3 linked regions of the Pelodiscus sinensis genome follow. Each later gene encodes a partner of the first gene's protein in a complex. Links are inferred from orthologs where the notes say so. Each region holds a gene or a part of one and is shown in the gene's direction. Other genes may lie near its edges. The genes, in order: VIRMA, METTL14 and RBM15B.

Region 1 (9,666 bases):
AAGCTTTACACTACAGATCTCATAGCACAGGGTGACAGCCATCTTCCCAGAAGCAGGGCTGGCAGCCAGGAAAAAACATGTAACTGTAATGGAAGCCAATAAGCTGATGTTTATTAGTTAACAGTTGAAACATCCCTATTCTACATGGCTCTAACAAAAAACAGGACTATGTAGCACTTTAAAGACTAACAAAATGGTTTATTAGGTGATGAGCTTTCGTGGCCCAGACCCACTTCCTCGGTGGGTCTGGCCCACGAAAGCTCATCACCTAATAAACCATATTGTTAGTCTTTAAAGTGCTACATAGTCCTGTTTTTTGTTTCAGCTACACCAGATTTTGTTTCAGCTACACCAGACTAACACGGCTACATTTCTATCACTACATGGCTCTGCATTTGTAGGCAACCACTCCCACTAGCTGCGAGTACTTGCCAGTGGGAGCAACTGGGGTGTAGCCTGTGAGCAGGTTCTCCTTTTCTGCCGTAGAGGGACCTCATAATACAATTAGTCAGCTTCAGTATTTTGGATACCAATAGAGGACTTTTTCCTAGAATTGGCCTGATAATCTCTCTGGGCTCGTCTACACTGGCCCCTTTTCCGGAAGGGGCATGTAAATTTCAGCAGTCGTCGTAGGGAAATCCGCGGGGGATTTAAATATCCCCCGCGGCATTTAAATAAAAATGTCCGCCGCTTTTTTCCGGCTTTTAAAAAAGCCGGAAAAGAGCGTCTAGACTGGCCCCGATCCTCCGGAAAAAGTGCCCTTTTCCGGAGGCTCTTATTCTTACTTCAAAGTAAGAATAAGACCCTCCGGAAAAGGGCACTTTTTCCGGAGGATCGGGGCCAGTCTAGACGCTCTTTTCCGGCTTTTTTAAAAGCCGGAAAAAAGCGGCGGACATTTTTATTTAAATGCCGCGGGGGATATTTAAATCCCCCGCGGATTTCCCTACGACGACTGCTGAAATTTACATGCCCCTTCCGGAAAAGGGGCCAGTGTAGACGTAGCCTCTGTGTGTGTGTGTGTGTGTGTGTGTGGGGGGGGGGGGGGGTGGGGATTATTAGCATCTGGAGCAGGGATTTCCCATCAGGCAGTGCTTCCCTGCTTTCTGTGTCCCAGAGTTCAGTGCAGTTCTTGTTGGACTTTCTGTTCTCCATTCTGTACCAAGGGTCAGCAACCTTTCCGAAGAAGTGTGCCAAGATTTAACCTTCCTGCCTTGGCCTGTGCAGCTCTCTCAGGAGGGGCTCTCTCCGCCATGTGCCCCACTTGATCTCCTGCCCTGGGCTCTGCTCCAGCTTTTCCTGTGGGAAGGGGAGGAACAGCATGCACACACTTCCCTGGAAGCCAGATGGGTGCGATGCCTCGGGGCTTCCCCCACCCTTGCAGGAAGCCGGTGCTGGCTCCAATCTTATGTGAGGTGTGATGCTGGATCACCAACATGGGCTGCCTCGCCCATTTCCCTGAACCCCTCCCCCCAGGCCACCCCGGGGGGAGGGGTTCAGGGAAATGGGTGAGGCAGGGCAGGGTGGTTACCCCAGGGTTTCCAGCCCTGCTGGGGGTGGGGTCCCATGGGGGTCCCAGTTCATGACACCCTTGCTTTCCTTCTAGGGACTCAGGATCCCAGGGGCCAACACGGCTTTGGGGTAGGGGCACCCCCCCACGCGTTTTCCTCTCCCCTCAGCCACCACCACCCAGCCCTGGAGCTGCAGCCCGGGCAGCATTCCCCCGCTAGTGCAGTGGTTCTCAAACTTTTTGGTCTGGACCACCTTGCTCAATGCAAACCTTTCAGTGAACCACCGTTAATTACATAATTATGCATAAGCCATTTTGCTAGTGCTGCAGCTAGGGAGAATGGTTTAATTTAAATTATTAAACAGAATAAGCGTTTTAACTTTCTCATGTTAGTTTATCAAACTTCATTTTAAATTAAAGTAAAATATTAATTTATGTCCAACACAAGATTTCAATGTTTTCTTTGTCAGGGGTGAGGAACTATCAGTTGGGGACCACACAAGTGAGAAGCAAAAAACTACTCCAAAACCCCCCAACCCTCTGAGCCTGACTCCATCACACCCCAGTCTCCAATTTGCCCATTATCTCCTCATCCCTGTCCCTGGCCTCCATGGGTGGGGAAGGCAGGTCTTGGCTCTGTTTGGGGTCCCTATGCTGCCCAATGCAAGTGGGCAGGGAGCCAGGGTAGCTCTCAGGGGTACCTGGGGGTACTGAGGAGCAGGTTCCCCCACCCCATTGCTTCCCCTTCCCCCAGCTTCTCTGCATGCCGGTGAGACTGGGGCAGGCGGAACAGCAGCAACTTGCATGCAGGGATGGGGCCTCAATCCCACGAGTGCGTGTGTGTGTTCCAGCTCCGTGTAGGGTCTCTGATGTAGGGTCTCTGATGTCTGCTGGAGGCAGGTGGGGAGCTGGGGTGCCTCTCAGAGATACAAGGGGTGGACGCAAGTCAGGGCTTTCTTCACCTCCCCCCCTCCCATGCACCTGGAAGCCAGAGCTGGTGCTCCAAGACTCACAACTGCGTGGACTCCAATGAGAGAGGGTTGCGCTCCTGCTGTGGTCTCCACATACCGCTAAAAATGAGCTCGCATGCCACTTACAGCACACATTCTGTAGGTTGCAGATCCCTGCTGTATACTAATGGGCTATGTCTAGACTGGCATGATTTTCCGCAAATGCTTTTAACGGAAACGTTTTCAGTTAAAAGCATTTGCGGAAAAGAGCGTCTAGATTGGCACGGACGCTTTTCCACAAAAGCACTTTTTGCGATAAAGCGTCCGTGGCCAATCTAGATGTGCTTTTGAGCAAAAAAGCCCTGATTACCATTTTCGCGATCAGGGCTTTTTTGCGCAAAACAAATCTCAGCTGTGTACACTGGCCCTTTTGCGCTAAACTTTTGTGCAAAAGGGACTTTTGCCCGAACGGGAGCAGCATAGTATTTCTGCAAAAAGCACTGATTTCTTACAGTAGGAAGTCAGTGCTTTTGCGGAAATTCAAGCGGCCAGTGTAGACAGCTGGCAAGTTTTTCCGGAAAAGCTGCTGATTTTCCGGAAAAACTGGCCAGTCTAGACACAGCCATGGAGTGGTGTGAATGAGCCTAGGGGAGCTTTCAGAGGAGTTAGGTGTGTCTCCCCCCTCCCCTGTCTTCTGATTGACTTTGGTTCAAGCAGAGACTTGGGGGGGGGGGGGGGAGGTCTTTCATTAGTCTGAATGACTCATTCATCAAGAACCTAGTTCAATAATAAAAATGAAAGGTAGCAAGTGCTATAAGAATCACAAAGAATTGCTAAAAGCAGTAACTACTGTTTACTTAAATATACTACTTGAACATTAGCTATTAAAATAAAAACAAATAGTACAGTGATGGGCATTGCACAGGGTAATAAGTAATAGAAATAATATTTGGAAAGGAGCAAAACTATAATTCAAGGGGTCTGGTAGCACTTTATAAACTAACAAAATATGTTGATGGTATCATGAGCTTTTGTGGGCATAGCCCACTACGTGTTTTGTTAGTCTATAAAGTGCTACCAGGCCATTTTTTTCCTGTAACAGACTAACTCAGCAACCCCCTGAAGCTCTATAATTCAAGTGGGTTACAAGGATGGGAGTACAAGTTCAGTGAACCCTGACAGCAGATCAGACAAATCTGTGAAATGGTATGAAACTTCATGTCCTCTCTTTAGCCCCCTCTAAAATGTAGTCAGCAGAAACTTCTACATCGTGTGGGCAGGGGAAGGGCAGTGGCTTCCGCAGAGCTATTGAGCATGCTCCGTAACTCTCACTTTCTGGCTCAGTAGCTCTTCTGAGGGGGAACCACCGGCCCTACCCCCGCGCTGTGCCCGCACAGGTGCAGAAACGAGCTGTGCGGCGATCCTGCAGCAGCCCGCCCTTTACAGGGCGCCACTGGCCCCGGCTCGGGACTGCGCTTCCCGGCTGACACTTTTCCGGGGCTCCGGCCCGCACCAGCCTTGGCCCCCCCTGCTCGTGTGAGACACTGCACCGAGCGCCCCCAGGGTCAGCCGCGGCTCCAGCGCCAGCGTTCCTTCCGCTCCTCCGCCCAGCAGTCGTGTGCGCATGCGCTCGCGCCCCGCCGCTGAGCCTGGGGAGAGAGAGTGGAGGGCGCAGGCGCCGCGAATGACCCTGGAAGCGCTTGCGCTCACCCGGAAATGCTTCCGCAGCTGCGGAGCAGAGATGGCGGCGGACACGGCAACGGAGCTGTTGTTTTTAGACACTTTCAAGCACCAGAGCGCGGAGGTACCGGTGGGGCCCGCCGAGCCACCCCTGTCCCCAGAGAACGAGAGCGGGAGGCGGAGAGTCTTGCCCCTGGGCTGGCCCGCTGCGGGACCGCGAGCGCGGGGAGCCAGGCTGGGGTGGAGCGGGCTGGGCTCTGGCAGCGGCGGGGGGAGCAGACGGGGGCGAGCCTGGGCGGGGGCTGTGGAGGTGCAAGGACAGGCAGGTTGATGCTGCCTGCTCCAGAGCCGGCAAAGGGCCAGGACGTGGAGAGTCCGTAGGAGGAAGCGCGGTGACACGGGGAGAGCGACGACAGCGCGTGAGGGGGCGAGCGGACCCTGTCTCAGGATTGGACCACCATGACATCAGCATGCAAGGGAGACTCCCCCGTATCGCGCTGGGAAGCCCTGGCGTGGCCAGACGCTTGACGAACGCTTCTATGGCTTCTTGTGCATGGGATGATGGCAACGTAGAAATGCGGCGATTAACAGGCGGGTGTTAATGAGGAGCCCGCAGAGTAAGAGAATAGGAATTGCGGCGAGGAGTCCTGTGGCACCTTGTAGACTAACTGAAGTGTAGGAGCATAAGCTTTCGTGGGCAAAGACCCACTTCGTCAGATGCATGACGAATAGGAATTGATACGGAAGAAAGTTGGCAGGTCAAGTGTAGGAGAAGGGGGAAAATGGGAGCGGAATTAAAAACGAGATTTTTAAGGTTGTTTGAGGAAAGATGAGAGGACAAGTCAGGAACAAGAGTGCTTTTCTGGAGCCTGTGGTGCATCTCTGCCTTGCAGCAGTTAATGGGGAGATCGGGAATATTCACTTTAGCTCCTATGTCCTGTGTGTTCCATTGCACAGTAGGTGTAAGGTTCATTGTACTAAGTTCCCAGTCTCAGAGGGTGACCTTACAGAGAGATTCTCCATGTTGTTACCATAGAAGCCCAGTGTTGAAAGAATACTTGTATTGCAGCAGAGAATTTTGTCAGTGATTGTCACCTCACATGGTGGTACTGTGTGGGAGAAAGATGTATCTTAAGTGATCATGATGTCAAGAGTGAAATTGTCAAAAATGGATTTGCAGGAAGTCATTGAGAATTTAACTATCTTCAAAGAAACTAGACATTTATATTGCTGTCTCCTTGGAGTTAAAATGAAAGTGCCTAGTCTTTTTGCAGGGGAAAGAGGTAAATAGCAGCATTTTCCAAGGATCATTCTGCATTGGGACCAGTGCTGTTCAATGTATTTGTAAATGATCTGGAAAAAGGAGTAAACAGTGATGTGGTGCATTTTGCAGACAATACAAAATTATTCAGGATGGATGATTCCAAAGCAGCTAGTGAAGAGTTACAAATGAATCTTACAAAACTGTGTGACAAAGGGCAGGACAGGTTCCTGAGATGCTGTTTGCAAGAAGTTGAGAATGGGTGACACTTGATGATTTACCTATTAATACCTTCTGAACCACCTGGCATTGGCCATTGCTGAAGGACAGGATACTAGGCTTGATGGACCTTTGATCTGATCCACTGTGTCCAGTCTTATGTTCTAGAATCATAGTGTACAGTTCTCTGAAAACATTTGCTCAACTAGGGATGTAAGCAACTAGTCGACTACCCGATAAGCAAATGCTTAGTGGGTAGTTGAGTAGGAACTCAACTAGTTGTTCCCTCTTCCCCCACTGCCTCTGTCAGAAATCAGGTGGTAGATCACTGTTCCCGCTAATATTTTTTCATGCATAAGTGGAATACATTTTGTTATGCACAGAGGCATGTATGGATGTGCACCACCAATAGAAACACAACTTGCTGATTGTGAGTGCTCTACCAATCCGCTTGGGGGGATGGCAAATCTCTCCTGAGTAGCCCTCCTGAGGGCACATTTTACAAGGAATGCCGGTATAGATTACCCCACATCTACCTGCAGCAGGTTCTTACATTTTCCTCTAAACATCTCAGACTGGCCACTGTTGAAATACTGAACTAGGTGGAGATCAGGTCTGATCCAGTGCAGCAATTCCTATGCATACAACCTCCTGCCATTTGTACATACAGCCAAATAGTCAAATTTGGGGCACACAAATGATCTGTCTCTGGTGCACATGCTTTTGATAATGTGTGCTTAGTTCATAGTTGTTGTTTATCATTACTGTTAGCATTATGGCAAGTGCCTAGCGGCAGTGAACATGAGGGCTAGGGATGTAAAATCCTGTTTTATTAGTTAACTGGTTAAACATAATATTTAATCAGTTAACCCATTACAGGGGGATGGGGTGCCCAGAAACAGCACTGTAGAAACACACAACAAAAACTCTTGTTCTTGTTCCTTAGCTTCTAAACATTTTAGAACATGGAAACACACATTTTTTAGAACACTGAATACATTTGTGGCATATGTAAATGGTGATTATAACATAGCAAAATCCTTAATCTTCACCAGGGGAGACTTTAATGTCAGACTTTAGAACTAATCCCAAAGAGGTAGTCTTCCTTAGGAACACAAGAATGGTCATACTGGGTTACGCTAGAGGTCCATCTAGCTTAGTATTGTCTTCCAGCAATGGCCAGTGCCAGTGCTTAAGAGGGAATGAACAGAACAGATAATCTTCAAGTGATCCAGTTCCTATCTTTCATTCACAGCTTCTGGCAGACAGAAGTTTGGGACACCATCCCTGCCCGCCCTGTCTAATAGGCATTGGTGAACTTTTCCTCCATAAATTTATCTAGTTCTTTTTTGAATCCTGTTAACAGTTTTGGACTTCACAACATCCTCTGGTAAAGAGTTCCACAGATCCTTCTTCCTATACGAGTCAGGACAATAGAGTTGCTCTGCATATGGGAGTTTTTCTCTTGCATGTTCACCTATTGAGTGCCATATATTGAATTACAGCTGGAGCACTTGTGGTGATTATATTTAAGATTGGGAGGCAGCAGTGCGGAAGGGAGCGCAGGAGGAGGGAGGGAGGGCAGGCGGCCTGTGGGAGCTGGCATGCACCAGGAGTCATCTTAAAAGCCAGCTCCCCACACATATGGTTCCTGCCTCCTCCCTACCTTTCCCTGCTGCTGCTATAGATACAGAAGGGTGGGGTTGTATGCATGTAAATGAGAAGGTTAACTGTGTACTCAGGCACATGTTAACTTCCCTATTAAATACTGTTTTTGCATAGATCTTGAAAAATTCTGTCTGGAGTCTTTCATATCTCCAACAGAGTCAGCTGACCTTAAACAACCCTCTGGTATTTAAAATTAAACTAGTTTTATTTTTCTATAATTATAAGCTTGACAGTGTTTCAAGTGGCATGCCCACTTGAATTTTGAAAGTAATTTCAGTTCCTCTGCCAATTCTTGTCTTTACAGTCATTTTCAAAATGTTTCTCCCTCAGTTGCTGTTTGAAAGATCAGATAAAAAAGGGAAATAATTCTTATTATAAAGTAAAAACAATATAGTATTTTTCAAGCTTTGCAACTTTTGTTTGCTCTTTGTTTTTAGCAGAGTACCAATATAGATGTAGTTCGTTTTCCATGTGTGGTTTACATAAATGAAGTACGTGTCATTCCTCCAGGAGTAAAAGCTCACACAAGTTTGCCTGACAATAGAGCTTATGGGTAAGTCCAAAAATGTTCAGATGCATTTCCTTTTATATTGTTTGGGACTTGTGAATCACAGGAAAAACTGCAATATATGCATCCACTGAATATGCTATATATATATAAATAATGTGTTCCTTTAGGTTTTAAACAATAATATTAGGGATTTCAGGTTTTGGTTAAGCATTGCCTGACATAATTAATTTTTACTTTTGCTCCATCAACAGAGAGACATCCCCACATACATTTCAGTTGGACCTGTTTTTCAACAATGTCAGCAAGCCAAGTGCCCCTGTTTTTGACAGACTAGGAAGGTAAGAATTTGGGAATGCGTGTACTTTATACATTCATGAGTATTTGCATAGCACTGACTGAACGTTTTTCTGTACAGGTTGTAACTCCCTGATCCGGCAACCTCAGGACTGGTTCCGTCTCTCCCAGTGTTCCCCCTTCTGGCAAGAGCCCCAGCCATTACCCCCAGCACAATTGATGGGATCTGCTGCCCCTGATGGGGTTCGTCCCACTCTGGCCAGCAGGGCTTCCTGCCCCTGGCCAGACTCCTCTCTGGACAGCCGTCCAGCTCTGACTGATGGAGCTCTGCACCCTGGCCGGCGTTCTCTCTGGCTGCAGCAGGGCTCTGCATCCCCAGCTGGCAGGACTCCCTGCCCCTAACTACTGCCCCACTCCAGGTAGCAGAGCTTCTCTCTGTAACGGCCTCGCTCTGGCCATATCAATGTTCCATCTCCCTTGGCCAGCAGGGCTCCCTGCCCTTGGCCAGCAGGGCTTTTCTCCTGGCTGGCCTCACTCCGGTCCAGCAGGACTTCATGCCTCCAGCTGCTCGAGTTCCCTTCCCCCCAACTGCTGGTGTGCTGGCCGGGCTCCTTGCCCCCAGGCAATGGCCCCATGGGCTGCCAGTCGCGGGCAACCTCTGCCTGAGGCTCTGATCCTTGCAACATTTGTGGTCCTGCTGGACCATGGATGTTGCCGGGTTAGAGAGTCCCGAACTATAGAGATTCAACGTGTAGAAGAATGTGCTATATTTCCGGGTGCGTAGAAATGAGAAGTACAGCACAGTATTATTACATCTCTGAGGGAGTTTCTTATTTTTTATAACAAAGGTTCAGAGTCTGATAGTGTAAGCGTTACTGGCAGTAATACTTAATTGAGTAGCCCTGTTCTGACTAATGGAGCTACTCAAGCTAATAAGTATTTATGGTCAGTAATAAATGTTTTTAAGTTTGGACCCTTACATGTAAACACTGTTAATAACAACAGGAGTTCCCAATTTTATGTTTGCAAGCATGCTTCTATTCCCTCCACTATGACCCCACCCTGTTTGTGGACATGCTTAAGATTTCTGTGAGGGGAGCTGGCTCCGTGAAATTTTACAATTTACAATTTTAGAATGTATCTATTCCTTAAAATCTGAATGTAGAGGATACATGTGCATCCGGGCTTGCTCATCTGTGCTTCCATATTTGCCTCTCTTTGCTCTTTCCCTGTCTTCGACCGTAGATGGTTCCCCCCCCCCCCACCACCCCGTCCCCTTCATTAAGAGATGTATGGTTACATGGTGTGAGTAGAAGTTCCCAACTGGGTTTTTTTTTTAGCTGACCATTTCCCTTTAATGTTAGTGTATATTGAAAGTACTTTGGGGCTTTTTTTATAAGAATAGGTATTGTTTAGTGTTTTGATACTGGCTTGAAAGCTTGTTCTTCCTTTTAATTGATGTGAAAATAGTGTTATTAAAGGGTACTATACGGAATTGTCCATATTTTGTATGTAAAGGACTTTTATTAAACATTGAAAAATAAGTTTTTATTTTGTTTAACAGCCTTGAATATGA
Region 2 (9,666 bases), on another chromosome or scaffold:
GTGACCCCAACACATGTAAAAAGATTATTGAAAATTAGGCAGCATTAAAACTTTGAAACCAGGGAAAAGTTTACAGTCACACAGTGGGACTTTCTGAATATGGGACTTTTACCAGGATCAGGTAACACACCTGCATCTGTCATACCTCAAGACAACTGACCATGTATTTAACCGTTGTGATCCAGCTAGGGATCCACTCTCAAGCTTCCAACTCCAATTGCTGTCTCCTGTCTAAGGGCAAAGAAAGACATGTGTGGCTCTCCCTTCTGACAGGGTATTTCCAGACTGCACAGTTCCCATTACATTGTGAATCCTCCAGCTATGCAGATTGCTTCAGCTGGCCTGCTTTGTCTTCTCAATATAAATAAACAATATAATTGCCACAGTTAAGTTACCACATAGCTCTTTGGAAGCAAGCATTTTTATTCTTAAGATAAGAGCATTATATAAAATATTAAAAAGCAATGAAAGAATCTATATTCGTATTAATAAGCTTCTTAGCAATAACCCACTCACTCCAACAAGGACTCTGGCTGCTGAATATTAAAATCCACCAATGGGTTTTCCTGTAATCTCAAATTCATAACAGATGTTAGCTCAAAATGAACACACCCATTAATCTGAGAGTAGAACCAAGCAAATCTGAGGATATCCGCTTTATATATGTGGGCATCTGTGGATGTGAATATCCGTGGCTCATTTTTTTCAGAAATGTTGTATCTTCTCCCTCCAAATTTGCAGATATACATTTTATATCCGTGGGTATCTGCATCTGTGGATGTCATTGCGGGTATCTGCGACTCATTTTTGCAGATAGAGATGCAGATGCAATCCAAGCCAGTCTCTATCTATGAATTGCTTTTTTATCTATTCTGGGACTCTGGTCTGGCCCTAAAGAAACAGATGATCAGTAGACAATGAGTTTCTCCTCAGGCTGCAGCATCAAAAGGATGGGTCTGGAAATGAGAAGTGGCTTTCTCTTTCTTCCAAGTGTTTCCTGGAAATCTCACTTAATTTTATTTATTTAGCTAGCACATAATTTCAAAGACTCCTTTGAAACTCCGGAAACTTCCCAAGTTTTACTTTAATCATGGTCATGGCCCATACAGGAGTTACATACAGTCCACAATAATATTTGCATTTTAATACAATGAACTTCTGAAATACTTAATCTTAATTCAATAAGGTTTGTCCAGGATGTTGCAGGAAATTGCCATATCTGTCACAGCATCCTATTGAAGAAAAGCAACGACAGACCTGCAGTAATATGTGTAAATACTTGATGATACGATGATGCTTACTTTTATTATTCAGAATTTTCCCATTGTTTTATTGGCAATTTTGTCTGAATATTATGTCTTTCCTCAAAAATACTGGAAATTGCATTTTTTACATGGGAAAAGGGCTCCTCACATGCACACACACATACATGTACATCATTCACAGTTCCAAAGTAATCAAATCCTCATTAAATATCATTCTAATTCTTGCTATCTAGGCATTTCTGCAAAACTGATGGTTATCCCTTATACAAAACCCTTCAAATAAATGACACAGTTGAAAGGTCAGTACTGGAAGCAGCTGTGAATGGGAGATTACAACCAAATGTTTTTAAAAGGATTTTAATCTTTCTTTCTCTCTCTTTTAAATTGAAACACAGAAATGAACCCAACAAAAAAGCCATATGTATACATATTCCAGGGACACACAGCAAAAGATGATGGATAAGTGGCTTTTTCCTTCATGAAGATTTACATGGTTGTCTTGCAGAGTATTCATTTTATGGCATTAATTCTATCAAAGAATGATAGACTTGAAAGTCATTAAGCAGTTTCAGCCAGTCAAATGTCTGGTAACTAGGATCTAGTTCATATGCTAGTTTCCTATTTTTTCTCCTTTGTCTAACTGCAAGACAGTCTAGCCCCATGGTGCAACCAGTCCAATCAGTTCTGAAGCAGTAGTCACTATATAGTGGCCACTATAGTGAACTAGCCATACTCAACCAGCCAAATAGCCACATTGTTCAAGATACATGTGGTTAGTGACTATTGGATTCCACAGATCTAGTCAATAATCAGGTAAGTGTCTTTTACCAGGTATGATTTGCTATCCAACAAATAGTATCTAATGGTATCTAACAATGTCAAAATACTGGTATGATTCACTATTCAATCAATGCTGCTCAGTTACTACAGAGCCACTTGAAGTCTATAGTCATAGGCACGATGTAAAAACGTAGAACTGTAGGCATAAAAAAAATTAAAAACTCAGCTATTAGATGTGATAAGATGGGAAGCCAGAAGTTAGCAACAGTTGGGACTGAACTCTAGAGGGAGAGAATGGATGTGGTATCTCTGGATTGAGGAAGAGAGCAGGAAAAACAGGATTCTCACCAAGACAGTATATGAGAAAACAGTGTAACTGATAGCGGGGAGAGCAGGGAGCAGGCCGATTGAAGGTAGAACTGTGCTACATTTAAAATGATGAAAGCCATATGGAGTAGTCATATTATGCATCCATAAATCTATTTTTTATACTTTTATACAGATCCACACCTATGTGGCATATCATTAAAATTCGTGCACAATTAAACTCTGGTTCATGCTTTTTGTTGCTAAAAGCAGAACATAACCGTCCATTCACTTTCAAGTAATTTTGGCAATAGGATGTTGCATTTTTAATGTGGCTGTTGTATTGCAATATGTGAATGCTGTGTTGTGAAGTGAGGGAGTTGTGACGTGACATTGGGGCAATATCATTTTGTGACATTTTTGTGTTGTTGCATTCTGGGATTCATGCTGACTTGCAGAACTGTACAAAGTATTATGACAGCTGGTCCCGCAGGTACAGGACCCAGCTGAGAGCCAAGGAAATGCAAGAATCCAGGGTGAAAGTCAAGGGGCAGCGCTGACTTGCATAAAGTGCACTAGCCCCTGTGGCAGGCACACAGCAATGGAGTTGGTACAGTCAGACACAGGCACCCCAGCTGGCTGTTACTGGAGTACAGCCCAGGTAGGGGCGGAGAGGAGGAGGCAAAGGGAGACTGTGGTACTGACTGCTATGAGCATGAGGTGCCTGGACAGTCAGGCCCAGCCGCACATGCGCAGAGCAAACAGCCAAGCATCTCCCCCCCTCCCCCCAGAAACTGCCGCCCAGCTGCGGCAAAAAGCGACTGGCTGCGTCACGTGACTCGCGCGCTCGGGCCTCCCCGTGCCGTCGAAGTCTCCGGAGAAGTTAGGGCAGGAAGCGGAAGTGACGTTTTAAGGAAGCGCCAGCGGCGTGCCCGCCTCGGTTGCATGGCGATGAACAGCCGGTTGCAGGAGATCAGGGAGCGACAGAAACTCCGCCGGCAGCTCTTAGCGCAGCAGGTAGCGGTGGGCGGGTTAGGCAAGAGGGCGTGTGGGGGAAGGGCCGTAGCGCTCCCGGCGCGCAGCTACCTTGGGCGTACGGGGGTGGGTCTCATCCTTTGACCCCGCCCCCACAGCTGTGGCAGGCGCGAGCCGGGGGGAGGGCAGGAGGAGGCTGTGAGTGTTGCGCGCGCGCGCGGCCCCCTGTGGCAGGTGCGGGTTTGCCCAGTGCCCTCTTCTGGTGACGTCATCGCCGCATGGCCCCTCTGCCAGCTGGTGATTAGGCCCCGGGGGGGGGGGGGCGGCGCTCCGGGGAAGCGCGAAAGCGGTTAAACGGTAACCGTGTACCCGCTGGAAATATCGGTGGGTGCACGTGCTGTGGGTTTGGCGGTGCAAAGCTTAAACTTTCTACTGCCCAGCCCCCGCCCTGAGAGTGGCCTGGCTGCCGGCTCTGCTCCTAGGGAGGCGGCTGCAGAGCTTGGCTGATGGGTTATTTGGTTAGACTCCTACTGAGCACTAAGTGGCGGGGGCAGATTTGTGCCTAGGGCGTGTGAGGCGCCACCCGCCATGTCCATGTGTGCTCCCGAGGTCCCTCCTGTGCTCTGGTCTCCAGACCTGTGCATGTGGAATGTCACTGTGGGATCCGGGGTGTCTAACTTTCATCACAAGGGGTCAGTTGGGTTTGAGGGTTTGACCCATTTTTTTTAATTGCCTGCATGCTTTGCCTGAAACAAACAAACAAAAAAGTGGTGTGTTGCCCTTATTTCAGTTGGGAGCTGAGAGTGCAGATAGTATTGGTGCCGTATTGAACAGCAAAGATGATCAGAGGGAGATCGCTGAAACAAGAGAAACTTGCAGGTTGGTATTGATGTAGTTCTCTGTTAGAAATCTTGCACGGTGTGAGACTATGGTTTTTGAAAGAGGGGAAGAAGCAAATAGGATTGGTTTCTTAAGACAAGCATTTTTTCATCCATGTTAACGAAAGTAAAGAAACATTAGTTCACACCAGAAAAGAAGAATTAAAAAAATATTTCACAGTCACAAGAAGGGATGTTAAGGACTAGTCAACTAACCGATGAGCAAATGCTGATGTTAAGGATAGTCCTCTAGTCACTCCTCCCTCTTCCCTCCGCTGCCTCTATCAGAAAGAGGCAAAAAGGGGGGAGAAGAGGAGGTACTTCAACACGGCAGCGTTGTGTGGAGCCTGGGGCCAGACTCTGGGCTCCATGCAGCACTGCCACTTTGAAATGCCACGTAGAGTCCTAAATGGGTAATGCTCACCAGTTCTTGTTAACTGGTAAACAGTGGGGGCTGGAGCAGATCACCCTTTGCCACAGTCAGGGGCCTCCTCCAGCCCTGTAGGAAACCCACCGTGGGTTGCTCTCATCCAGAGCTGCTTCTGTCCATGGCGGGAGCCTAGGCACTCTGCAGGCTGGGGCTTCTCCAATTTCCAGATCAGCTTCTGTCTGCGGTGGGCCTGGGTGCCCCGCTAGCAGTGGCTGCTTGGCCGGAGGTGGGACCTGGCAATGGAGCCGGCAGCCAGCTCCAGCATAGGGCTGGGGGCTGCTCCAGTGCTGTTGAAGTGGTCCTCAGAACCCCCTTGAAGTAATTGTTTAAGGCAAGTAGAATTTAGACCCCATCTTCAAATTCATCCTTGGAGACAGACACTATTTTCAGTTACTGTAAGGGCAACAAAAATTATTGGGTTTTGGAACAGGTCCCATATGAAGAGAGATTAAAAAGACTTGGACTTTTCAGCTTAGGAAAGAGGAGACTAGGGGGGGCTATGGTAGAGGTCTATAAAATCATGACTGGCATGGAAAAAGTGAAAAAGGAAAAGTTATTTACTTATTCCCACAATATAAGAACTAGGAGTCACCAAATGAAATTAATAGGTGGCAGGTTTAAAACAAACACAAGGAAGTTTTTCTTCACACAGCACACAGTCAACCTGTGGAACTTCTAGCCTTCACCGCATCCTCTGGTAAGAACTTTAACAGAGTTCAAAAAGGAGCTAGCTAGATTCATGGAGGTTAGGTTCATAGAATACTAGGACTGGAAGGGACCTCGAGACGTCATTGAGTCCAGTCCCCTGCCCTCATGGCAGGACCCAGTACTGTCTAGACCATCCCTGATAGACATTTATCTAACCTACTCTTAAATATCTCCAGAGTTGGAGATTCCACAACCTCCTTAGGTAATTTATTCCAGTATTTAACCACCCTGACAGGAACTTTTTCCTAATGTCCAGCCTAAACCTCCCTTGCTGCAGTTTAAGCTCATTGCTTCTTGGTCTATCCTCAGAGGCCAGGAAGAACAAGTTTTCTCCCTCCTCCTTGTGACACCATTTTAGATACCTGAAGACCGCTATCATGTCCCCTCTCAATCTTCTCTTTTCCAAACTAAACAAGCCCAATTCTTTCAGTCTTCCTTCATAGGTTATGTTCTCTAGATCTTTAATCATTCTTGTTGCTCTTCTCTGGACCATCTCCAATTTCTCCACATCTTTCTTGAAATGTGGTGCCCGGAACTGGACACAGTACTCCAACTGATGCCTAATCAGCGCAGAGTTGATGGCTATTAGCCAGGATGGGTAGGCATGGTGCCCCTAGCCTCTGTTTCTCTGGAAGTGAGAGACGGGAGGGATCAAGTGAAGATTACCTGTTGTGATCCATCCCTCTGGGACATCTGTCCGCAGACAGGATACTGGGCTAGATGGACCTTTGGTCTGATCCAGCATGGCCGTTGTTACTGTACATTTACACTAATGAAATTATAACGTCAGTAGGAATGACTACTGGATTTTCACTGCTTCAGCTGTCCTTATAATATGACTGTTTTGGGTCTGGTTAGTATAAAACACTGCAAAGTAAAGGTGTTATTTTAAGGTTATAACAATGTGAACATTTGAGAAAATGAGAGACTACTCCTTAGAAGAGTTCGTTTGTCAGAAAGCTATAGCATTAGCAGAGAGGTTGTCCCAAGCAATTTTAGGCTTTATAGAGTACAACCAGACCCTTAAATTAGAATCAGAAACCAATATGCATTCATTGTAGATAATCATAGGTTATAATATATGTTCTAATGTAGTGAAGCAAGAGAAATTGCATTATATCTATTTTTTTATATGTTTTTTAGGGCTTCTTATGATACTTCAGCATCAAATGCAAAACGCAAATATCCAGATGAGGGAGAAGCTGATGAAGAAGAAATTGAAGAATATAAGGTAAAAAGATAAATAACAGTCCAAAGAAAATATTTTTTTAACATGGTAAAAAAGCATTGTTACAGTGAGGAGGGATGGCTAGTGATGGAAGAGACCAGACTGAATACATGTGAAAAGGCAGAATTACAGAGGGCCATGACAGCACTGATGAGTATAGTGGTGAAGGTTGAACACGTGGGCAGATTCAAGGAAAGGTGTGATATGGTCAGAGGAAATGGCCAGGAATACGTAACTAGTAATTTTATATGAAATGAAATGGTGTGATGTATTGCTGAGAGGCCAAAGAGGTTTCATTTTGATTTCCTGTCCAAGAACTTGCAGTACAAGCAAAATAGATTGGATTTTTAAAGTGGTAGGAGTTGGCTTTAGATGAGGTCAGGGAGTTGAAGATTCCCATGAAGTATGGGCAAAGTGACAAAGAGGATGAATGTTTGTGTGCTCAGTAAAGGCAAAAGAAAGAGTTTGTTGGAAGGAGAGATCAGGAGGTTGGTTTGTGTCCATGTTTTGTTTAAGATAAGACATCAGAAGATATTTTTTACAAAGGAAATGTTGGTTAAAAGTCAGTCTTCCTTGCTTCCTCATATTCCTGAGACACCTATCCCAGACATATGTGACAGCCTATTTCCTTTATCTCATTTAAGTACTTCCTAAAAATTCATTTTTGACTCTTCGGATAAATGATTGGTGGAGAAGGTTGAACCAAATAGTGACTCTCAAGGCATGTGTATCTTACTGATTAGCTGTGATCTTGTTAATTGTTACCATTGTCTTTCTCCCTTTTCCTTATTTTTCGATGACACTCACTATTGACTTATATCAAATCAATGAGATGTTGCTTATAGTACTTCTGGGTGCACAAAAATAGTATAATCACTGGAATTGGGAGGATCATTGAAACAGTCTGTTTCATACCCACTTCCATATGTACAATAAGTTAGCTATAGGGGTATCATGAGAAAAATACATTCACTGAGCTGAGTAAAGAAAGCAAACATAAAATAAGGTGAGCCTTTGATATATTGAAAGTATCATTGGAATAGAATACAGAAACAAGTATTTATAGGCCTTATCAATTATTTTTGTGTTCTGGTAAATTGAATTAATTTGTTTCTAAAATACTTAAGTGACCAAAACACATACAATTAATACACAAAGATTATCAGCAGGGCTCGACAAATAATGTAATCTACTTGCCCATGGCGTAGATTACAACCCGGAAGAGCTGGTGCAGAGCGATCTGCACATGCACAGAGTGCAGAACCGCGTGGCTGGCGAGCAGGGCTCGCCGCCGCTTGGCGAGCCCTGATTATCAGTACCGTATGAAAAGTAAATAACCTATTCTTAATTAGCCTGTTGCTACTTAGGGCTTGTCTGGATTGACAGGCAGTGATCAATACAGCAGGAGTTGATTTATCACGTTTAGTATAGATTAGGGATATTAAATAGCTGTTAATTGAGTAGTCGAGTAACCTAATGAATTCTTATCAGTTACTTGACTATTCTGTAGTCCCTGGGGGTGGGATAGGCAACCTGTGTGCGCCAGCCCTATTCTAAGGAATCCCCTGCCACTCCGCACTGCTGCCTCTGTAGTATGGGGTGTCAGGCAGGAGCTGGTCTGCCAGGGGAACCTGTTTAAAAACTAGCTGTCCTCGCAGATTGGCTGCCTGTCTCACCATGTTGCTCCCTCTAATACAGAGGCAGCAGCATAGGGTGGCAGTAGCCCTTGTCCAGTGGGGGTCTGAGCTCCCGGATCCGGTGCAAGCCAGAACTGAGCTGGGCTACCTGGCTCCTAATACACTTTAAATGGAGAGCCATAGCAGGGGCCGATCCCGTCGCAAGCTAGACTATTGGCCAGCCTGCTAAAAAATTTACTGGTGGGGATGGGGGGAAATGCATGTTGTCTATATCGTTAACCTATAAGCTTTTGCTAATTGGCTAATCGACTACACTATTACATCCCTAGTATAGACAAATCGACTTGTCAACTCTAGTGCTCTCTTAAAAAGAGAAGAGTAAGCAGAGTTTATGGGAGAATGTCAGCTGTCAACTTTACAGTGGTGAAGATACTGTATTGAGATAAGCAGATCTCTGAATGTCGACTTCCTCTATGTTTTCATGTAGCTGAAGTTGAGGTAGACAGCTTGCGGTAGTGTACACAAGGCTTTAGGTGGGTGACCAATCTGTAGCGATATTACTGAATTTAAAAAATAAGTACACGAATAAAGCCTCAGACTTGAGACCTGTATATTATTTAATTACTCGCATGAAAATCTAAAATTACCAATAGACTGACTAAAATACAGCAAAGAACTATCTTGTATAGACTGCAGTTTTTCTAATGGTCGGGGGGGAGGTTTATTTAATAAAATTTTGGCCTTTGAATTTGCTTAATATTTTTTCATTGTTAGCTTAAGCATGTTAAATTTAATAATTTAGTAATACAAACTCATGAGTGGTCTAAGTCTGAATCCCTACTAAGTGTAAAAGTTAAAGTACTCCTTTGTAAAACGTGTGTGTACCTTAGACTAAATATTCCTTCCAGGGATAACATTAATAAGCAGTTATAGATTGATTTGTCAAGTTTATGAAAATAAGAGACAGATCGTATTGATTTAAGTTTTCCTGCTTCTCTCTCTCTCTCTGCAGTATTAACCTGCAATAGTCTTTGTAGTTTTCTGATCCAAGAGCCACAGTCAGCACAGGTAGCCCTTAAAGCCTAATTATGTTGTAGTTTGGTTATGCAGACCAAAATTTGCCAAAGATATAATGAAGACTGGAAAACTCATAGTATTATCTAAAGCAAGGTTGAGCTCAGGTTTGCAGAAATCAGTAGTGCAATTATGCATAGCCCAATCCAGACACTCAGGAATTTCTGATACTCAAATCATGTTGCTTAATATAGTCCTAACTAATAATGTACATTATTCCTAAGTGTCTATTTGCCATGTTAACATTGCTGAATGAAAATTAAATAAAGAGGAATTTGTACTTTTTTGAGCACAAAGTCAAGGGTTTTGTGTTTGTGTGTTTCAAGACTTGTGAGTTTTATTTTGTAGCACAGATTTTCTCTCTCCTCTGTACCAAGCTTATGAA
Region 3 (9,666 bases), on another chromosome or scaffold:
GACTGAGAGATCATATGAGCATAAGCTTTCATGGGCAAAGACCCACTTCCACTACATGCATCTGACAAAGTGGGTCTTTGCCCACGAAAGCTTATGCGCCAATAAAACTGTTAGTCTATAAGGTGCCACAGGACTTCTCATTGTTCTTGCAGATTCAGACTAATACTGCTACCCCTCTGATACTTGAGAGATCATAAACATGGAGTCGGCATGGATAAGAGTATGTAATTTTTAGAATAGTGTTGTAAATCTTGGATTGACATTGAGGTGTGTGGTGTGGTTTTTTTTTTTTTTTTGAGAGCGAAGGTTATGTAAGTCTGGGCATTAAATTGGCTCCTCCCGCCCACCACTGGCAGTGTTTCCTATATTGTTTGCTGCTAGAAACTCTGTATTGTATTCTTGCAGCTGAATCCATGCTGTTCTTCTAGTATGTTACATGAATGCCATTGATGGGTTTTCTTTTCTCGGGTCTCAGTGGATCTGTTTCTTTTCTCTGTTTCAAGTATTAGTGAGACAAGGTGGGTGAGAGATGTATATGAATCGCCTGTCCTCATTCATGCTCCTAAAGTTTTACTGTGGCGTAATTGTTACGTGTGCAGCTTGAAGAGGATAGGTTTATGGTTGCTAATGCAGTCTGTCCGAACCTCAGTCTCAAAACCATTCTCTTGTTTTCACATAGGAGTTTTCCCCAAGTACTGCTTTCAGGTTAGTGCGCACATTATGAATCTTTCCATCTTTTCTCTCTTTTAGTGTGTGTTACATTCCTGGGAAGATTCTACCAAAGTCTAAAGGACAAGGATGTTGAGTTCACACCAGCTAATGTTGAAAAAGAACTCTTGAAATCCTGCAAAGAAGCAAAAGGCAAAGAGAACCGACTGGTGAGTACAGGATGAACTTCCCTGGTCTGGTACCCTCAGGACCTAACTGGTCCTGAACAAGGGAATTTGCCAGATGGGGGAAGTCAGTGTGCCCAAGACTCTGCTTTTCCTTCTGGCTGCCCCACTACTGCCCAGGGGTTTCTGCTCTCCCCCTGGCAGAAGGGAGCTCTGCTTTTCCCCCAATGGCTCTGCTACCCTCTGGGGCTCCGTGCTCTCCCCTCACCCTCCTCCCCAGGCTTCATGCTCTTCCCACAGCATCTCTGCTGCCACCTGAGGGACTCCCACTGCTGCCGGGGGCTTGTACAGCTACTCCGCTGACTGCTGCTCTAGCCCTGGTGACCAGGGGCTCTGTGCTTCTCCCAGCGGGTCTCTTGGCTCCCTAGTCTGGCAGCACTCCTGGCCTCAGCTCAACAGCTTATCCCCTTGAGTATTCTCACAGGGTCACCTCTACATTGTCGGGACAGGGGTGTTGCTGGACAAGGGAAGTCGGATTATGCAGTTTCAAACTATAATAATCTATCACCATCTCTTTTGCAAAATAATCCTTAAGATTATAGTAGTAGAAGTGTAGAAGTGTGTAGAAACTGGGAAAGTCTCTTGCTTGGTTGTGTGTACAGTGTAGGCCTACACAGGAAAGATTTGAGGAGGGATGCAGTCCCTCCCCACCATACCAAAAAAAACCCAGTTTTCCGTTGGTTGACCTAATTTCTCCCTGTAACTGAAGGGCAGTGAGCTTTTTTTTATGAAATTTTAATTTTCTACAGCACCCCTTGAGCATTACGTGATGCATCTAGATTCTGTACAAACTATGTTTAAATATGTATGCTTATCAACCCTTGAACAGGGAAATGGGCAGAGGAAAGTGCTAATTGAAAGCAGTCCAGAATGGTTTCAAAATGGAATGTCCCAAGTAGAAAGGCCCACTGATCTCTGAAGAGAACTATCGCTGACTTTGTCAGGCATCCTTAGGGACATACTTAAGACAAGCTGTTCTTGAACTGAGAAAACTGCCTTCAGCTCAGTTCAGATGAAACATAACCGGGCAGGGGAGGGAGGAAATAGGACCACCATCCTCAACATAATGTGAAGTCCACTTTTCTCATAGTAGTACTGGGACTTGTGCAGAAATATTCTCTACCAACAAATGCTGCAACCTCATCTGTTCAAAATGTGCTTGAGAAAAGGCCAGATAAGCCATTTCTTCGCAGCGTGTTCTCTCTGCTCCTTATGGTGCTAAGGTGTTCCAGGCTGTAGAGTGAACATGGGGCTGCTATTCCTATTCCCTTCCCCCCCCCCCCCCTTCACTTAGCTCGCTCTAGAAATCCAAACCAAAGCAGCAGGGTTCAGAGTCTTTACCAGTAGTATTGTCTACTCCACTGGATAAGTGGCGAGGAGTCCTGTGGCACCTTATAGACAAACTGAAGTGTTGGAGCATAAGCTTTCATGGGTAAAGACCCACTTTGTCAGATGCATGTAGTGGAAATTTCCAGAGGCAGGTATAAATATGCAGGCCAGAATCAGGCTGGAGATGATACCTCCACTGGATAAAACACTCTCGGGTAGAAGCATGGCAAGACTGAGAGATTTGTAAAGCAGAAAACTCAGGGTGTTTGGGAGGGAGGGAGGAGGCAACCAAAAAAATCAGCTGAATCCTTCTGAAGCATCCTTTTCCCTCAGTATCACTAGACACCTCATTCTTTTCTTCCACTGTAGTGCTATTACCTTGGGGCCACCAGTGATGCAGCCACCAAAATGGTTAATGAGGTATCAAAACCTCTGAGTCACCACATCCCTGTGGAGAAGATCTGTGAGAAACTGAAGAAGAAAGACAGCCAGATCTGTGAGCTAAAATATGGTGAGTTTGGGCAGACATTAGCTAAGTGGTTAAATAGTTGGGCTTTTCTACAGTATGGTTCTTTGTTCTGATAAGTAACGAACTTGCACCCTGTCCCTTAATATTGCAGAGCTGAAGTGGAGGGGGGAAGGTGATGAGCAAGTAGCCAATAGTGATAGTTGACTACTTGCTTACATCCAACTCGGAGTTCTTCAACAGACATCGGTTTATCTAGGCTGCAACATTGTTTATGCCTGGGATTAGGTAAAATCCTAGACTCTCAGTGAGTCCCCTAGCTGCCTAGGTCCATCATGAAGGCACCACTGATGTTCACAAAACCACTGCTTGGCTGCTGCCTAAGTCCTAATACTGTCCCACAGCTAACAAGTTGCATGGAGCCCTGCCAGGATTTTCAAATAAGCTGGCTCCCACCTGTCTTGCCTAAAGAGCCCAATCCAGCAGGTGTGCTCAGAGCACATTTTTCATTTTGCTCTTGGCTGTCTTGGGCAGCTTCCTGGTTAGCTTGTTGGCTTCTAAGAGTCCCTTTCTTGTGTGTGTCTCTCCTCATACAATGTGTGGGGGCCATGAATGCCATTGAGCAGTGCAGCACTGCAGTAGTGAGCATAGCAAAGGCCTAAGTCCCCTTTGTGCCTTTAGCCCTTGGCCTCTAGTTGGGAGACTCTTATTTGGAGTGTAGAATAGTACATAGGAAAGATTTTTGTGGGGAACAACCCAGCCTCATTACAGATTAACTAGGCCTAAGGCTATTGGCTGCAGTTGTTAAATGCATTTATTCAGGTAACCGTGAAACCGCATACAGAGGCAGTGGGGCAGGTGGGACCATGTAACTGTGCACATTAACTGATGAGCCTCACTGGTTAACCCAGTACACATGTACATGTTCACCCTCCCTAGTGTTGACTACAAGCTTCTTGTTACCAAATCCTATCTAAAGATATTTACAAGAGACTAATTTTCATTTTTAATGGTCCCTCTTGATTCCCTAAAAGTCTGCCTTCCAGTTCTGCTCCAACAAAACTGCTCAAAATATTCTTTCCTCTTCTGCTGCTCTCACTAGGGATGTAAAATCCTGGTTAACCAGTTAAAGGTTAGGTCAACCTAACCTTTAACCGGTTTAACGACTAAACTGGAATCCGGGCTGGGGACTGCTTCAGTCCAGCTGGAGCAGCTCCTGGCCCCAGCCCCACACTGAGGCTGGGTCTGTCACCAGGTCCTAGCTTCCACCTTCTGCTAGAGCAGCCCCTTTCTGTGGGGCGCCTGGACTCCCCATAGACAGAGGGGCTACGTCTACACTGGCATAATTTTCTGGAAATGCTTTTAAGGGAAAAGTTTTCCGTTAAAAGCATTTTTGGAAAAGAGCATCCGGATTGGCAGGACGCTTTTCCGCAAAAGCACTTTTTGCGGAAAAGAGTCTGTGGCCAATCTAGATGCGCTTTTCTGCAAAAAAGCCCCGACATTTTTGCCATCGGGGCTTTTTTGTGGGAAAGAGATCTCTGCTGTCTACACTGGCCCTTTTGCGCAAAAGTCTTTTGGAAAAAGACTTTTGCCCGAATGGGAGCAGCATAGTATTTCCGCCAAAAGCACTGACAATCTTGCATGAGATCGTCAGTGCTTTTGCGGAAATTCAAGTGGCTAATGTAGACAGCTGGCAAGTTTTTCCCCAAAAGCAGATGATTTTGCAGAAAAACTTGTCAGTCTAGACACAGCCAGGCTGTTCCAGATGAGAACAGTCCCTGCCCACAGCAGGCCCCTTGTGGAACTGAGGCAGGGTCCTGCCTGCAGCAGGTGGGGCGCTGTTCCAGCACCCACCAATTCCCTGGAACTGATAAGCAACAACCCTACCTAGCTCTGACTAAAGCAGTATAACGTGCCAGCCTCTTCACTGATTCCATATGTCCTAATGTGTAAAATTGTCTTCAGTTTCGTGTCATCTTGTTGGCCTGCCTCATTGCAAAATAACACCCCTGGTATGTTTGTTTAAATCTTATTTCCCTTTTCCTCTCCCCTTCCTTTCTGTTTTTATATTCCATTCATTGTAATGTAGATTGTATCAGTGAGGCAGTGCCTTGTTTTTAATGTCCTCAAGAATAGGCCTTCTCCACTGAAGGGGACAAAACTCAAACACACTTTACTGTCCTGTCCACTTCATTAATATGTTATCTAGTTAATCTTGACCGCCTGTAATAGGCTTGTTTTTACTCATTTTGAATAACCAATGTTCCCCCCTCACTCTTCAGACAAGCAGATTGACCTGAGCACTGTGGACCTGAAGAAACTGAGAGTGAAGGAGCTGAAGAAGATCCTGGATGACTGGGGGGAAACGTGCAAGGGCTGTGCAGAGAAGTCAGACTATATTCGCAAAATCAATGAACTGATGCCTAAGTACGCTCCGAAGGCCGCCAGCTCCCGGACGGATCTCTGACCCCCCCCCCCCCCGCCCCCATTGCGCTGTTCTCGGTGGGGTCCCTCTTGCCCCTTTTTGTAAGTTATTGCAGCGGGCGGCCAGGCCGGGCGGGGTGACCGGCTCGTCTCCCCCCCCCCCCCCTTTGTATTGCGGGGCCGCCTGCGGGTGGTGCCGCCGCGGAGACTTTTGTATTAAAGTGTGAAAGGAAGCGGGTCTCTCTCTGCGCCGCGGGGGGGGGGGAGCGGCACAGGCCGCCTGGGCGCGCGCTGAGGCGGGCGGGGCGGGGCGGGGTCCGGCGTGGGAGGGGCTGGATACACGAGGCCGGTTCCACAGGGTTCGCCCCGCCCTGGGTGGGGGGCGAGGAGCGCTATGGCCGCTGCCTGGATGCGTAAGGCCCGGCCGGCCACCGCCCTTAGTTCCCCTGCGGCTCCCTCTCAGTTGGTCCCGTCCGAAGGCGAGGACGTAATGATCGCTTTCTCCATTGGTCCTTGTCTATCACGTGACTCCTCCCCCCCGCGGACGACGGAAGGGCTTCCCTTGTCACGTGATGAAGGCGCCGCGGCCCCAACTCGCCATCGCTCCTGACGCCGCCATGCAGCGGGGCGCGGGGAGATGACGTGTGGCCCGCGCGGCGCGGCGGCCGGACTCCGGAGCCGCCTTCCTTCCCTTTTGTCCAAGATGGCGGCGGCCGCCGGAGGCGCCTGCTGAGCCGCGGGCCCCGGAGCCATGAAGCGGGGCAGCGAGCGGGACCCCAGCCCGGGCGGCGCGGGGGGGGGCCGGGCCGCCGCCAAGCGGCCCCGCGAGCGCGAGCGGGAGAGCAGCAGCCGGCGCGGCCCGCACCGCAGCTCGGGCGCCTCCCGCAGCAGCCGCGACAAGCTCCCGCCCGGCGGCGCCTCCAGCTCCCGCAGCCACCGCGGGGACGAGCGGGCCGGGGGCGGCGACTCCAACCACCGCGCGGCGGGCGGCGCCTCGGCCTCCAGCGCCCGCAGCAGCCAGGCCGCGCCCCCGGCCGCCGCCTCGTCGTCGTCGCGGGCGCTGGGGGCCGCCAAGGCCAAGGCCCTGCCGGGGGCCGTGGTGGCGCCGTCGCTGCTGCTCGCCGGGCCGCCCCCGGGGGCGGCGCCCTCCTTGCTGCTGGCCCCGCTGGGGGGCTCGCCGGGGCTGGTGGTGGAGCCGCCCGGCTCCTGCGAGTACAAGACGCTGCTGGTGAGCGGCCTGAGCACCGCGCTGCCCGACCAGCTGCTGGAGGACGGGCTCTTCCGCCAGTTCCAGCGCTTCGCGAGCGGGGGCGCCGGCGACATCAGCGTCAAGCTCTCCCACACGCCCGAGCTGGGCCGCGTCGCGTACGTCAACTTCCGGCACCCGGGGGACGCCCGTGATGCCCGCAGGCACGCCCGGGCCCGGCAGCTGCTTCTCTACGACCGTCCCCTCAAAGTGGAGCCTGTGTACTTGCGTGGGGGTCGCAGGAGCCGCACACCCCCGCCTGTGCCCTCCCCAGAGCCTCTGGGCTACCTGCCACCCATCCACAGCACCTACCAGTATAAACAGAGGTCACTGTCGCCTGTTGCCAGCCCATTGCTGAGGGAGCCACGGCCCCGGCATGCTCATGCGGCCGCTGCAGCCTTCGCCTTGGAGGCTGCTGCCCTTGGGCTCTCCCGGGAGCGGGAGAGGGCACTGGATTATTACGGGTTGTATGATGAGCGTGGCCGACCCTATGGCTACCCCATAGTGGCTGAGGAAGATCTGATGCCAGAGGATGACCAGAGAGCCACTCGAAATCTGTTCATTGGGAATTTGGATCATAATGTCTCAGAGGTGGAGCTCAGACGTGCTTTTGAGAAGTACGGCATCATTGAGGAGGTGGTGATCAAGCGCCCTGCTCGAGGCCAAGGTGGGGCCTATGCATTTCTCAAGTTCCAGAACTTGGATATGGCCCACCGGGCCAAGGTCGCCATGTCTGGCCGGGTTGTTGGCAGGAACCCCATCAAAATTGGCTATGGAAAAGCCAATCCTACTACACGACTCTGGGTGGGTGGCCTTGGACCAAGCACATCCTTGGCTGCCCTTGCTAGAGAGTTTGATCGCTTTGGTAGCATCAGGACTATTGATTATGTGAAGGGGGATAGCTTTGCCTATATTCAGTACGAGAGCCTGGATGCTGCCCAGGCTGCTTGTGCGCAGATGAGGGGCTTCCCCTTGGGTGGACCGGATAGGAGACTTAGAGTGGATTTTGCCAAAGCTGAAGAGACAAGATACCCCCAGCAGTACCAGCCTGCACCACTCCCAGTGCACTACGAGCTGTTACCTGATGGATATAGCAGGCACAGAAGCCTAGAGCAAGACTTAAGGGTGAGAGATAGGACTCCTCCACATCTCCTGTACTCAGATAGAGACAGGAGCTTTGCAGAGGCAGATTGGGCTAGTCCTGCCAAAAATGCTGAGCGAAGAAATAACTTGGAGAGCTACGGCCGATCTGTGCGTAGCCGAAGCGGAGAACGTTGGGGTAGTGACAGTGACCGCAGTGTGCCCAAGCCTTGGGAAGAAAGGCGGAAACGCCGGAGTCTTTCCAGTGACCGTGGCAGGATTACTCATTCGCCTTATGAGGACAGAGGCAGGACAAAGGCCAGTGGGCCAGCTTTAGATCGCAGCCCAGACAGGGTTCGCAAAGAGAACAACACTACAGAGTCTGGAACAGAGAGGGATCAGAGTAACTCCCTTCAGAACAACCGGCACGTATCTGAGGAGAAACCACATCGTGAAACTTCTGATCTTCCTCAACCTAAAAAAAGGGACAGCGAACGCAATCATCGGACTGGTGAATCGGAATCAAAAACTCACGAGGAGCCAAAATCTGAGACCAAAAAAGTAAAGAACTTGTCAGAATATGCTCAGACACTGCAACTTGCTTGGAATGGGCTTCTTGTGCTAAAAAATAGCTGCTTCCCCACGTCTATGCACATCCTGGAGGGAGACCTAGGTGTAATCAGTGGGCTCTTAAAAGACCATTCATCTGGTGGGAAGTTAACACAGCTCAAGATTGCTCAAAGACTTCGGCTTGACCAGCCCAAGCTGGATGAAGTAACTCGCCGTATTAAACAAGGCAGTCCTAATGGTTATGCTGTGCTACTGGCTACCCAAGCCACCCAAGGAGGGGTAGGGGCTGAAGGGACCTTTCCTGTTGAGCCTGGCTTGCAGCGAAGGCTTCTCAGGAATCTGGTCTCTTACTTGAAACAGAAGCAGGCTGCTGGGGTGATCAGCCTGCCTGTGGGAGGGGCAAAGAGCAGAGACAGCACAGGCATGCTTTATGCTTTCCCTCCCTGTGAATTCTCTCAGCAGTACCTTCAGTCAGCACTAAGGACATTGGGAAAGTTAGAAGAGGAACATATGGTGATAGTTATAGTCAAAGACACTGCCTAGCCCCCACTGTCCCTTCAGATTCCATGTTTTCTTTGTGTGTGTCACAGCCCCATTGTTTTTAAGACCAATCATTTTTGCAAAGGCCCAGTAAACCTTAAACAAAATTGTGAGATTTTTAGTTTCTAATTAATTTTAATACCATTTGAATAGATCTCATTTTATTTGTTTTTAATATGTGACACTGTCCACTGTGTTCTGTATTTTTATTTTTTAACTGTATGGAAAGTTGTCAGTAAAGCCTTGTTCACTGATGGATTTTTAATCTTGTGCAGTGTCTTGGTTTTTATGGCTCAGTGAGGGGCTGGTTCCCTCACCCAAGAGGTAAAAGATGATTACTCCCTCCTTTTCGCGTGTCTAAGAGCTGTACATCCCCGTCCTCTCTCCAGGTGCTCTGGAAGGTAGGGGGAAGGCTTCTTAATGATGTATGAGAGAAATGTAAATGTCAATATTCTTGATCTGTTTGCTTTGTATATTTTAATTTGAATTTTGACTTTTCTGCTAAATCTCCAGTATATGATAGATGTTTCCCGGGTAGATATTTCCAAAGAAGTGAACCCTGATGAAACATAGAAATTAACTTTTATTAACAGCCATTTAACACTTGAGACAGAAGCTGCTAGAAAACATTCATTTTCTTACCCATTCAGTCACAGAGACTCAGAGCACCAAGAAGCAACAAAATATGGAAAGGCAAGGCTTGACATTCCTGATAATTTGAAAGGGGGGGGGGGAAATGAGGCAGGACTAACCCTCCACACCTTTCCTTGCTGGAGACAGAACCCCTGGGGTCTCTCTCATAAACAAAGGGTGCAAGCTTAATTTCTTTGCATAGGGCAGAGCTTGACTCATTGCACTCCTTTATTAAAAATTAACTGCCAAAGTTAAATTGTTTGCAGGAGTCTAAAGGAGGAAAATACCTTTGATGGTTTAAAAACAATTATGTACTGTTAGAATTAATTTTCCTAAGATCCTGAGAAGTCTTATCATGGTAAGAGCATAAACAAAGAATGGAATCTGTGAGGTGGTTGTCAGATTAAGAAGCTAGGACGTTTGCCTCTGATGTCAGTATCTTAAGGCTGGGGGTTAGCCATTCCAAGAGTGCAAGTCTGATAGTC

The links.
Region 2: VIRMA (region 1) and METTL14 share a complex: the UniProt entries of both Homo sapiens proteins name them as parts of the WMM complex. The link is inferred for Pelodiscus sinensis from reciprocal best matches to the Homo sapiens genes VIRMA and METTL14.
Region 3: VIRMA (region 1) and RBM15B share a complex: the UniProt entries of both Homo sapiens proteins name them as parts of the WMM complex. The link is inferred for Pelodiscus sinensis from reciprocal best matches to the Homo sapiens genes VIRMA and RBM15B.

Annotation. Positions count from the first base shown.
Region 1 is NC_134712.1:40,435,887-40,445,552, forward strand, and holds the start of VIRMA (protein virilizer homolog), read left to right. Parts: upstream 1-3,906; 5' UTR 3,907-4,081; coding exon 4,082-4,261; intron 4,262-7,722; coding exon 7,723-7,838; intron 7,839-8,047; coding exon 8,048-8,134; intron 8,135-9,654; coding exon 9,655-9,666. UniProt on the Homo sapiens protein: Associated component of the WMM complex, a complex that mediates N6-methyladenosine (m6A) methylation of RNAs, a modification that plays a role in the efficiency of mRNA splicing and RNA processing.
Region 2 is NC_134715.1:35,214,114-35,223,779, forward strand, and holds the start of METTL14 (N(6)-adenosine-methyltransferase non-catalytic subunit METTL14), read left to right. Parts: upstream 1-3,227; 5' UTR 3,228-3,296; coding exon 3,297-3,368; intron 3,369-4,116; coding exon 4,117-4,205; intron 4,206-6,485; coding exon 6,486-6,573; intron 6,574-9,666. UniProt on the Homo sapiens protein: The METTL3-METTL14 heterodimer forms a N6-methyltransferase complex that methylates adenosine residues at the N(6) position of some mRNAs and regulates the circadian clock, differentiation of embryonic stem cells and cortical neurogenesis.
Region 3 is NC_134721.1:43,354,525-43,364,190, forward strand, and holds RBM15B (putative RNA-binding protein 15B), read left to right. Parts: upstream 1-5,466; 5' UTR 5,467-5,863; coding exon 5,864-8,551; 3' UTR 8,552-8,813; downstream 8,814-9,666. Other genes in the region: MANF (mesencephalic astrocyte-derived neurotrophic factor), read left to right, coding at 751-878, 2,592-2,733, 4,971-5,155. UniProt on the Homo sapiens protein: RNA-binding protein that acts as a key regulator of N6-methyladenosine (m6A) methylation of RNAs, thereby regulating different processes, such as alternative splicing of mRNAs and X chromosome inactivation mediated by Xist RNA.